3 linked regions of the Cricetulus griseus genome follow. The protein of the gene in region 3 interacts with the protein of the main gene of each other region in a pairwise test. Links are inferred from orthologs where the notes say so. Each region holds a gene or a part of one and is shown on either strand. Other genes may lie near its edges.

The links.
Region 1: the proteins of Kpna3 (region 3) and Hnrnpc interact in binary tests that used the Homo sapiens proteins (3 or more experiments, as listed by UniProt). The link is inferred for Cricetulus griseus from reciprocal best matches to the Homo sapiens genes KPNA3 and HNRNPC.
Region 2: the proteins of Kpna3 (region 3) and Tssc4 interact in binary tests that used the Homo sapiens proteins (3 or more experiments, as listed by UniProt). The two-hybrid records come from large-scale screens. The link is inferred for Cricetulus griseus from reciprocal best matches to the Homo sapiens genes KPNA3 and TSSC4.

The regions. Positions count from the first base shown.
Region 1 is NW_023276807.1:207,170,651-207,174,398, forward strand, and holds the start of Hnrnpc (heterogeneous nuclear ribonucleoproteins C1/C2), read right to left. Parts: upstream 2,553-3,748; 5' UTR 2,397-2,552; intron 1-2,396. UniProt on the Homo sapiens protein: Binds pre-mRNA and nucleates the assembly of 40S hnRNP particles. Interacts with poly-U tracts in the 3'-UTR or 5'-UTR of mRNA and modulates the stability and the level of translation of bound mRNA molecules. Single HNRNPC tetramers bind 230-240 nucleotides.
Region 2 is NC_048596.1:58,316,374-58,320,121, forward strand, and holds Tssc4 (protein TSSC4), read right to left. Parts: upstream 2,287-3,748; 5' UTR 2,142-2,286; exon of another isoform or gene 2,013-2,141; intron 1,860-2,012; 5' UTR 1,735-1,859; intron 1,646-1,734; 5' UTR 1,636-1,645; coding exon 682-1,635; 3' UTR 513-681; downstream 1-512. UniProt on the Homo sapiens protein: Protein associated with the U5 snRNP, during its maturation and its post-splicing recycling and which is required for spliceosomal tri-snRNP complex assembly in the nucleus.
Region 3 is NW_023276807.1:216,375,510-216,379,157, reverse strand, and holds part of Kpna3 (importin subunit alpha-4), read left to right. Parts: intron 1-19; coding exon 20-182; intron 183-3,014; coding exon 3,015-3,109; intron 3,110-3,514; coding exon 3,515-3,613; 3' UTR 3,614-3,648. UniProt on the Homo sapiens protein: Functions in nuclear protein import as an adapter protein for nuclear receptor KPNB1. Binds specifically and directly to substrates containing either a simple or bipartite NLS motif.

The sequences.
Region 1 (3,748 bases), about 9.2 Mb from region 3:
AGCCTGGTGTACAGAGCTAGTTCCAAGACAGCCTGGGCTACACAAGGAACCCCCCCCCAAAAAAAACAAAATCTAGGTAACAATTATGACTCAATTAGAAACTGGTAGTAAAGAGCACAGCAATCTGTTCAAATTAGAATACTTTAAACAGAAAATCAGCTTTTGTCTTTTGAGAACTGTAAAGACTTAACCAGGAGCCTATACCCACTGTAGTTTTTCAAAATCTTTACTGAAACACCTGTGGTTTTACTACACCTGAACGTTGTTTTTTAATCAGCCAATTCTCCAGTAAATCTAGTTTCAAAACCATAAATCTTCCGATGAGTTGAGTGTATGAAGCTTTAGCAAATAATGAGACGAACAAACACTTAGGTTTCTCTATGTAGCTTTGTACACCAGAGATCCACCTGCCTCTGCCTCCCATTCAGAAATCCACATTTCTAACACTTTTGAAGGACTAAAAATAGAGGAAACAAGGTCTCACCAGGCCTGAGAATTCTTTGTAGACCAGACTGGCCTCAAAATCATAAGCTATCAGCGAGTTCCGCTGGACTGAAGTTGTGCCCCACCATACCTGGCCTGTATGTCTAACATTTAATGGCAGGTGTTTTTAACCAATCTCAACTACTGCCAGTAGTCTTCTTGCATACTAATTTCCGACACTTATTTACAACACTATTTTTGATGGATGCCTTCCTAGCTATTTCTCTTACCCATTTCTCACTTCACCAGAGCAAAATCTTACTCTTAAATTCTACTTCTAAGGCACACCTTAAAATGATGAGGCTTGGCAGGCAGTGATGGTCACATTTAATCCTAGCACTTGAAGAGGCAGAGGCAGGCAGATTTGGTCTACAAAGCAAGTTCCAGGACAGCCAGAAGTCATACAAAGAAACCCTACCTTGAAAAAACAAACAAATGGCTCGGAGGCGGGGCAGGCCTTTGATCCCAGGATCAGGAGGATACAGAGGCAGGCGGCTCTACCAGACCAGCCTGGTCTAAAGAGGGAATTCCAGGACAGGCTCAAAAGCTAAAGGGAGAAAATAGGTCCCCAAAAAATAAAAATTAAAACAAAAAATTAACTCCCAGATAAACTGACACCCTACACTATTAGTGCTGGGGATTAAATTAAGGGCACCTTGCATCCTAAGCACTACCACTGGGCTACATTAGCAACAGCTGTAACAAATGGCTGGGAGTTAATAGTTTGGGGGGGGGGTTCGAGACAGGGTTTCTCTGTGTAGCTTTGGAGCCTATCCTAGAACTCAGAGATCCGCCTGCCTCTGCCTCCCGAGTGCTGGGATTGAAGGCGTGCGCCACCAACGCCCGGCCCAGAGGGTTGCTTTTTTAAAAACTGCTTTGGAGCTCTCCTCTGTTTTAAAAACAAACAGCCAAAAACAAACAAACAAAAAAAAAAACCAAGATTTTACTGTGTAGTTCTGGGCTGGCTTGCAATGGATACTGATCCTCCTCCTGTCTCATGGCCTCTGGAATGCAAGAATTACAGGCATGCAATACCACACCTGGCTGGAAACTCCTTATTACCAAGTTTAGAACTGATAGGATATTGGAATATCCGGAAAAGACTATTTTGGTTTTGCTCCGGTTACCTTTAATTTCGCTATCAGCTTCCCCTAAAAACTCGATTGTCTTTTTCGTACACAGTATTCCAGTATTCTTTACCTACCTAAAAATATCTTAGTCGCTCTAATTTAGTAAATACTGTCAACCAATTTACCTATCGTTTCTCTCTCAAGACAGCAGTACCTACCTCAAGCAAAGTCCCACTAACATATATTTCAAGTAATTCGTAATCTGCAGATTAAAAGGTAAGTTGCAATTTTATTGCAATTTTAATTAACCCGTGACACTTCCCTTTTACAGAAAACACTCCGCCTTCTACCATTTATTCCTACGGGAGAAAAAGTAATGAATACTCGATCTATTGTTAACACGCCGCTCGGATGCCATGTGGCCCGCCCGGAATTTGGAAGCTTCCAGTACATCATCAGCGTAACGCTCCGCCACCCCCGCCCGACGTTGAACTTAGAAGACTTAATAACGGAATCGTTAAGACATTAAACCTCAATTAGGGTAACAAGCTTGCATTTCTTCCTTTTCACGCTCCCCTCTCCGAGTCCTGGCGGTCGAAGGCAGGCAAAGTGGCCGTTAGACACGAGCGCGCCGGCAGGGTATCCTCCGCGCCGCCCGCGGCCTGGAGGTCACCAGGCTGAACCTGCGCCAGAGCCGAGGCCTGGCGCCGCCCGACTTAGACCCGGTCCCCGGGCCACGGGAACCAACGCGGGCGCCGTTCCTGCCGCCAGGCCGTTCGCTCCCACACCCGCTCGCAGCGCCCACGAACCCGCGCCTCCCCTGCACTCGGCCCCTCCGCTTACCAAGAGTTCGGAGAGAGAGAGAGAAGACACTGCCTCTCCTACTGCGGCTCCGTGCGGAGACTCCGAAGCGACTGCAGGCAGGCAGCACACGACCGTTCGCTCTCCGGCGCTCCACAAAATGGCCCCCGAGCTCCTCTGCCGCCGAGGCGAAGGTCCAGCCCCGCCCCGCTCCTGGGGGCGTTCCTATTGGCTGAGCCTTTTCTCGCTCCCGCTCCTCATTAGATGGCGCTACCGCTCCTCACAGTGCTAGCCAATCGCGATCGGGAGTAGGTTGGTCTAGTTGCGAGAATTTCCACCTGCGTCACCGAAGCTCGTTAGTAATTGGTGGAGCTTCCTGTCACTTAGGGTATGAAGGATGGTCATTGGCCACTGTACCAGACGGAAAACTGGGTGGAATGTTCGCCTTTGTATCGCGCACAGCTTCTCATCCGGGTACCGGCGGGCCTGACTGACGCCGCGTCGGCCTATCGGCGCTTAGTGGACTGCCTAGATCCGCCCTGATCACTGCATTTCCGCGGCGCGGGGGTGGTAAAGTCTGGGTGGAGTCTGGTAGCGGGTGCAAAGGGCCTGCCCTCGCCCCGGGCCTAGGAAAAGGAAAACCAAAGTAAGCCTGAGCGTGGGGAAGAGAGTAATCCCTAGACCGCCTGGAGTGTAGATAAGACAGACCTGCAGTTTTTTTCAATTTCAGATCCTTCTCATTTCCACATTGTGTGAGCTGCCGGGAGGAGGTGGCCTCTCAGCCCACGAGGCTAGACAGCTCCTTCCAAACCTAGTCCTCTCCTGTTACCTGGACCCCTCCAAGTCGGTTGCAAAATCTGCAAACCGAATGGCCGGCCACCTCAATTTCCGATTTCCTGCAATAGTCTGACGGCCACTCAATCCCCTCAGGCCTGGCCTGCCAGTGAATTTCTGGTTATTCTGGAGGAACCTTGAGCACACCAAAATGTATACAGCCCCCTTAGAAAGGGAGATATTACCCCAAGGAGATACACTAGATCTAGGAAAGTCTGATTTAAATTTGGGGAAGGGGGATGTTGATTTTTGGGAGTGTTGATTTGGGGCTTTTTTTTTTTTTTTTTTTTTGGCCAGGTAGTGATGACGGTGCACGCCTTTAATCCCACCACTCAGGAGGCAGAGGCATGTGGATCTCTGAGTTTGACACCCACCTGGACTTCAGAGGGAGTTTCAGATCATCGGAGCTAGGTAGAAAAACCCTGTCTCAAAAACAAAACAAAATAATAATAATAATAATAAAAGAAAAAATTAAACGTTTTATTTATTCTATGTGTGTGTGTAAGCATTACGAGGGATCCGACAGGTAGGGATTCTGGCGTTCTGGCAATCTGGAGCCA
Region 2 (3,748 bases), on a different chromosome or scaffold from region 3:
AGGACCCTGGCCACGGCATGAAGTACTCACTCATGTGTCTTCCCTGCATCCTTCTCTTCCTCCTGGGCTAAGCTTCAGCTAAATGACCTAGCATCAGCCTATTAGCATCAGCAGTGTCCTACACAGAGGTCACAAATCCTGGAGACATACACCCAGGACACCAGCTCTATCTTTAGTTTGGGTGGACACCTGCCCAAACTCCTTCGCTGGCTCAAACTACCCTCTTCCTAAAACTGGTCTGCACAGGCCTAGTGTGGAGGCTGTGCTGGTTTCTGGGGGACAGATTATGTTCGTCCATTACCATCAGGGGTACAAGGCTGGACATGGTTATGAACCCAGTCCCTCTGGGTAGGTTCACTGGTAGCAAATGCAAGGGATCATGGCAAATCTTTACAGCAGTCCCCACTGGAGTGGGGAGAGCAAGATAAGCCAGGTGTAGGATGGAGTCCTGAAGTTAGTTGCCAAGGACTGTTTGGACACATCTTGAATAGGGAGCAGAAAAATCCACAAAATTTAAGAAATATCCCAAACCTTTATTTTTCACCCCAAGAAACGGGGGCATAAGGTCCCACAATTCCCACAGTCCTAGTCAGAGTTGCTTCCCAGACACCCCTTCTACAAATAGCCCACAGCTTCCCACCTGGACTGGGCAGGTGAGGAGGTGGAGAGATAGCACTGCAGTCAAACTGAGGGTCCCCTCTCAGACCCTGGCCCCTCCGGGTTACTGTCCCTGTTCCGGAAGTGTTCTCTGCTCCGCTTCTTGCTGCCATGGAAACCAACAGCCTCCATCCCTGTGGGATCTGATGAGGACCCAGGATGGTCAGCTCCTGAAGGTATCACTGCCTCTTGCAGTCCCTGGTGGCCACTCCACTCCTCAAGCTCAGGCCCTGCCAGATGGGCCAGCTCCACAGATGCCTCACTCACAGCATTTGACACATCCCCCTTCTTTAGGACCCTCTTCCTTTCAGCCCTAGTCTCACTGCCTCGAATTGGTTTGGTAAAGACCACTCTCCCCTCCCCACAGCTAGAGGGGTCCTGGTTGAAGGAAGGTACATAGTCTGTGGGGGATGCCAGGCTGCGAGAACCCAGAAAGGCCAGGGCAGCAGCACGATTGCTCTGCTCACTGACTTCAGTCGCATCTTCCAGGCTGTACTTGGTCCAACGCTCAGGATGTGACACATAATCGGGCACAGGAGGTACCCTGGTTGGGCCCGTACTCCCATGCACCCTGCTCAGGTTCCCTGCTGGAGTCTGACTTGGGGGAGCCACAGGTCGCTTGAAGTTGCCATTTTCAGTCACACTGGTTTGGGGCGCAGAGGGCGGTGCCTGCCGGACTGCACTCTCCAGACAATCAAAGATGCTGTGACTGCGCTGGGAGAAGGTGGAGCTCATGCCGCGGAGGTGGAACGGCTGAACTGCGGTGGTGGGGACGCCCGTGGGGGGCGAGGGAGGCTCATCAGGGCCGGAGTCTTCTTGGGCTTCCCCAGAAATCCTCTCCGGGGACAACACTTGCACCTCAGCACCACTAGGTAAGCTGAGGTCCGAGTCCGAGTCGCTGAGGGAGACGGTGTCAGAAGGCAGGGTGTCATCTTCGGTGGGTTCCTCGGCCTCCAAGCCAGTCTCCGCCTCCGCCATGGAACCCGACCTGTAGCGAAGCAGCCCAGGTTCTGCTGTGAGGGGTGTACTTGGGCAGCTCCCCCCCACCCCCGTTCTCCCAGGCTCCCCCACTTTCACCTCCACTATGTGCCAGGCGCCTCTGCTCGCAATCGGGCGCTGGCTGGTCACGCAGGCGGGCGGAGGCCTCGCGAAGCTGGGTGGCGAATAGTGTGTCCTCGCACGCACTGATGTGGAGCTGCAGTCTAGATAGGGTTAAGCAGAGAGTCAAACCATGAGATCAGAACAGTGCGGACATATAAAGGGTGCGCGCTAGGAGACGCTGGAGACAGAGGCTCTCGACCATCAGCTCGTCTCATCACCGGCTCTCACAGAGCGCAGCCTCTCCGGGTACACACCGCCACCGGAGGCACCACCCGGCTCCGGAGGGAGAGCTGGCAGGGGACTGGCCTGGTCGCACGGTCCTAAGGAGGCCAGCGCTCACCGCTCCACCGTCCCTTCACGCTACAACAGCCAGCTGCCTTTACCGTAGCGTCCCGCCGGTTTCTCGAGGTACGGGCCGTGGCCCCCGCCTACTCTCGCTCGGCTTTCTGGGAAACCGAGTCTCCGGCTGTCTGAATGCTGCAACTTTAGCGGCCAAGGAACTACAACTCCCAGAAGGCAATGGGCCAATGCGTAATGCCTGCCGGGAGGTGTAACCTTTACGTATACGTCATCCCGTAAGACTGGAGCGGACACGGAAATCTACCCGGAAATGACGAAAGAGGAAGAGGCGGAGCCAAGAGCCTCGATTCCCATTGTACATAGGGCCAACTGCTAATCGCAAAGGGTTGAGGCCTCCAGCGCCGCCTGTCGGAAGCCGTCTGAGCAGGGTTCGTCACTGGAAGGAAGTGCGTCACCACGCAGTGCGGGCGTCAACAAGTTTCCTGGTCAGAAGTGGTGCTGATCTGATCTTGTACTCGGTTGGCTTCCTAAAGGGGGCGGGGACTTAAGTCCTAGTTGGCTCTTGGCATCTAGAGACGTGGTGGGCTCTGGATGTTGGATAAGTTGTTTGGGGCTGCAGAGATTCGAGGCCTCTCCTCTAGGCTCTGCCTAGCCGTGCTTGGACACCGACCCCACTATTTAAGGCCACACACAACTCCCCTCTAGGCCCGGGGCTGTCCTCTTTCATCTCTGGGAACCAGAGTCTGAGAATCCACTGGGCTGCTGCACGCTCACTTCCTTCCCTATGTTCTTGAAGCCCTGATAGCCATGCTGCAGTTTTCTCAACAGCCTTGGCCAGGGGCCCACAACATAAGAGTATAAAGTCCTTCAGACCAGCAGCCAACCCAAGCAGGGAACAGGTTGCAAGGGGCGGGAGGGGGGCGGCGGACGGACGATAGTAGAGATTAGGACGCCCTAGGACAAACTTGGGGTTCACTGACAAATCAGCTTACAGGGAGGTTGCTAGGAGCTGAGACCTAAATCTTAGCCACGCTTTCTCTCCTCTAGAGGCCAATTAAATATGCCAGTAGCCTGGGGGAGGGGTGCAGACAGGAGTCAAAGGGAAAGGCAGTAGTGGTGATAGTTGCTGGTGTCCCAAGAGGTTGCTTAGCCTAATCCTCAGTTCATAGGGCTGAGCTGAGTGGGCTGCCATCTTGACTATTATCCCTTGAGACAGGCCAGAGCCACCCAGCTCTTTAGAACATTTCTAAGCACCTAGATACTTGGGATGGGGCAGTAGTCTAACTTTTACTGTATTGTCTTTCAAAAGTGGGATGAAGTGGGAGTTTTTTGTAGCTTATCCCCAGCATTCTGTGTCGAATTTTCCTGCTGCGTGACCTCTCCTACCCGTCTCAGTGTGACTTGGCATGTCCAACAGATGAGTGGAAATGAGGTCAAGGCTGGAATAAGGTCAGCCTGAACTCCCAGTACAGGGAGGTAGAAACGAGGGAGTACTCAGATGGAGTGCTCCCAGGGTCCCTATCCTTCCCACCCATTTTATTCCACAGCCTCTCTTGGACCTGCTCACCCTGTGCCTGGCAAAGTCCAGAGCGGTACCCGTCTCTGACACCACTGGAACAGGAAGAGGTCTGACAGTCCGGTTAGCATGCCTGATTTTCTCCTCCTTTATTAAATGACTGTTTCAGATGTA
Region 3 (3,648 bases):
CTTATGTTGTATTGTCTAGGTTGAGTACCTTGTACAACAGAATGTTATTCCACCATTCTGTAACTTGCTGTCAGTAAAAGACTCTCAGGTGGTTCAGGTGGTTCTGGATGGTTTAAAGAACATCCTGATAATGGCTGGGGACGAAGCAAGCACAATAGCAGAAATCATAGAAGAATGTGGAGGTAAGTGGAGTTCTACAGTACTAGTTCCTTTAAGCTTAGTTTATTAGACAGTTGTTATTAAGTGTTCAGAGGATTTTGCTGGTCTTACCTTATTAGCATTACTAAAGGATTTTCACAAAAAATACAGTAGTTCGTACTTTAGAAATACTGGTCATGGGGCTGGAGAGATAGCTCAGAGGTTAAGAGCATCACCAACTGCTCTTCCAGAGGTCCTGAGTTCAGTTCCCAGCAACCACATGGTGGCTCACAACCACCCCTTATGAGATCTGGTGCCCTCTTTTGGTGTGCAGATATACATGGAAGCAGAATGTTGTATACATAATAAATAAATAAAATATTTTTTTAAAAAAGAAATATGACCAGTATGGAGTCAATTTTCCTGGAGATTGATGAATTTTAGAAAGTACTCAGTATTACACTGATTTGTTTTCCATTGCCATATCAAAAATATCTGAGGCTGAGTGCTTATAAAAAGGTTTATATAGGTCAGAATTTTAGAAAGTGAAAGTGTAAGACAGAATGGTTGTCCCAGTTTGTGTATAATTTATGGGTATGCATGCCTCTAGTGAAGTCTTCCTGACTGGGGCAACAGGACAGAACACATGGGAGAGAATAAAGGAGAGACCCAGGGACAGATTCAGTGTTTTGTAATAGCTTACTATTGTAAAATGAAACTAAAGATGGTTCTGCAAAAGTTTTGCTAATTTTTCTAAGTACCAGACCCCCAGCATTGAACCTTCTTCAGTAGGCCCCATTTCTTAATGGTTTTCAAAGCCTTCCCAACAAATCAATAGTGAGGACCAAAGTACTGCACAGTGTACAGGAGCATGTTAAAAAGTCCAGTGGACTACTAGAGTAGATAAAAGCTTTGTTTAATCCATTTCTCAACTCTAGACAAAGCCAACACATTTTTTTATGTTGTACATATTACCATGTGTCTGGGTGGACCCTTCTTTGAGAAGTGGTTGCTCAATTGTGTGTCTTGTTTAAATTCTGTAAGTTGGAGAGGCTTTTGGGTTCAATACAAAAGTGTGTTGAGATAATAGGACTGAAGTCATTAAGTATTGTCATTTCTAGTAAGGACATGATGAAACTTGTACTTAAAAACTCTGTTCTTAAAAGGTACCATATGTACTAAAAAGTTTAGTGATTTGTTTGATTGCATTTTTGTTGACTATATGGATAGTTTATCCAGGTTATGCTTTAGAGAACATAAATGCAGTAGCACCACAGATCAGTAAAAACAAAAAGGTTAATGGAAATTTTGCCCAAGATCATATAAATAGCATTTATATAAGCAAAACTCACATGGAGCTTATCGTACTATTTGTGCTCATTCTTGTGTTAAGATGTCCTATTTTTGTTTTTGTTTTTTGCCATATTATGTATCTTAATCGCTGAGCTTTTTTGTTTTGTTTTGTTTTGTTTTGTTTTTTTTCGAGACAGGGTTTCTCTGTGTAGCTTTGGAGCCTATCCTGGCACTCGCTCTGAAGACCAGGCTGGCCTCGAACTCACAGAGATCTGCCTGCCTCTGCCTCCCGAGTGCTGGGATGCCTAGCAAGATGTCCCATTTTTAAGATAAAAATTAGCTTTATAATCAAATTTACAGAAAATTTGAATAACTTAGAGAATTCTTTCTCTTTAATGTTAAGCTGTATTTTTCCCTATTGGAGTAATAATCACAATATATACTATAATCTCATAAAGCATTTTTTATTTGTTAGTGTTGATTCCCATTTCTCCATTTTTTTTTGATTTGTATATTATGTTTTAAAAGTCTGCTATTTCAATATGTTGAAAAAGATACCTCCAGGATAAATAGTAAGGTTTTAAATTTATAAACTTGTACATATGGTACATGAAGTTCATGGTACATTGGAAATATAAAAGATATTCTCAGGTGAGCACAGGTGTGCAAGACTATATGTCGCACTTGATAGAATCAGAGGATCTGAGGTTCAAGTCCAGACTGGACTACAGTCTTGTCTTACATAACCTGAAAAGGAGATCAGTCATGAGTGTTACGGGAACTTCCTTTTCCTGCTCCCTATACCTGTAGGTCATAACCTTCACTTTTGTTTATTCGTTTGTTTTGTTTTGAGACAGAATTTCTCATATAGTTCTGGCTGTTCTCGAACTCACTCTGTAGCCAGGCTGGCCTCAAACTCACAAAGATCTTGGCTATCTCTGTCTCCCTGGTCCTGGGATTAAAGGTGTACGCCGTCACTACTCCTGTTTACTTTTTTAAATGCAGTGTTTTTGATGTAAAGCTTCTATCAATTAAGTTCTCAAAACTTACATTCAGAAAACAGGGGAAGAGGAAAAGATACTATATGAGATAGTGTGATTATATTGAAACTTTTTGGGAGGTTTTCAGACCTTGTACTGGCATTAACTTGTTGCTCTTTGACCAGAAACAAACTCTATTACATCTCTACTGGATGGTTTTGGTGGTTTTTTTCTGTTTCTCCAGAGATCAGGGAATCTCAAATGTTTTTAAGGAAAAAGGAAATAATGGGATGGTGGTTTGGTTTTTATGTGTTACTTTAGACTGTCATCTTTTTTTTTTTTTAAGATTTATTTATTTATTTGTATCAGCATGCACACATTTATTCCAGAAGAGGGCATCAGATTCCACTATAGATGGTTGTGAACCACCATGTGGTTGATGGGAATTGAACCCAAGTCCTCTTAACTGCTGAGCCATCTCTCTAGCCTATAGACTGTCATCTTTAAGTGGAGACAAGGCATATTCTGAGGTTCATAGGGTTTTTCTATAATTAGATTGTGCAGATTCGTGATTACCTTAATTATTTTTATATTCTTTGTCAGGTTTGGAGAAAATTGAAGTTTTGCAGCAACATGAAAATGAAGACATATATAAATTAGCATTTGAAATCATAGATCAATATTTCTCTGGTGATGATGTAAGTAAATACTAAAGTACAGATGTCTGCGTGTAGATTGATATAATGGCCATTTACTTAGAATTTTTCTCTTATTGTTAGTGTGCGTGAAATTTGTAATGTTTTCTGTTAGATACTCCATTAATCACTTTTCTTACATACTTTATCCAAAATTTCACTATAAGGTAAAATTATAAAAGCATTTCTTGTTACAGTTTTAATCTATTTTCTGGAAAGAAATAATTCTGGAAATGACATTCAGATAGATGAAGTATATCTGCAGATATAGGAACTTAAGCCAGGCACTTTTTAAAAATGCATATTGAATTGTATTTGTTTAATTTCTCAATAAAATTATCACTCATTTATCTGGGTGTTTTTAGGCAGTTAAAATATTCATTTGGAGTTTCCCCTTTATTTTTATAGATTGATGAAGATCCTAGCCTCATTCCTGAAGCAACACAAGGAGGTACTTACAACTTTGACCCAACAGCCAACCTTCAAACAAAAGAATTTAATTTCTAAGGTCTATTAAGTGCAGCACCTTTTATTCAATACAA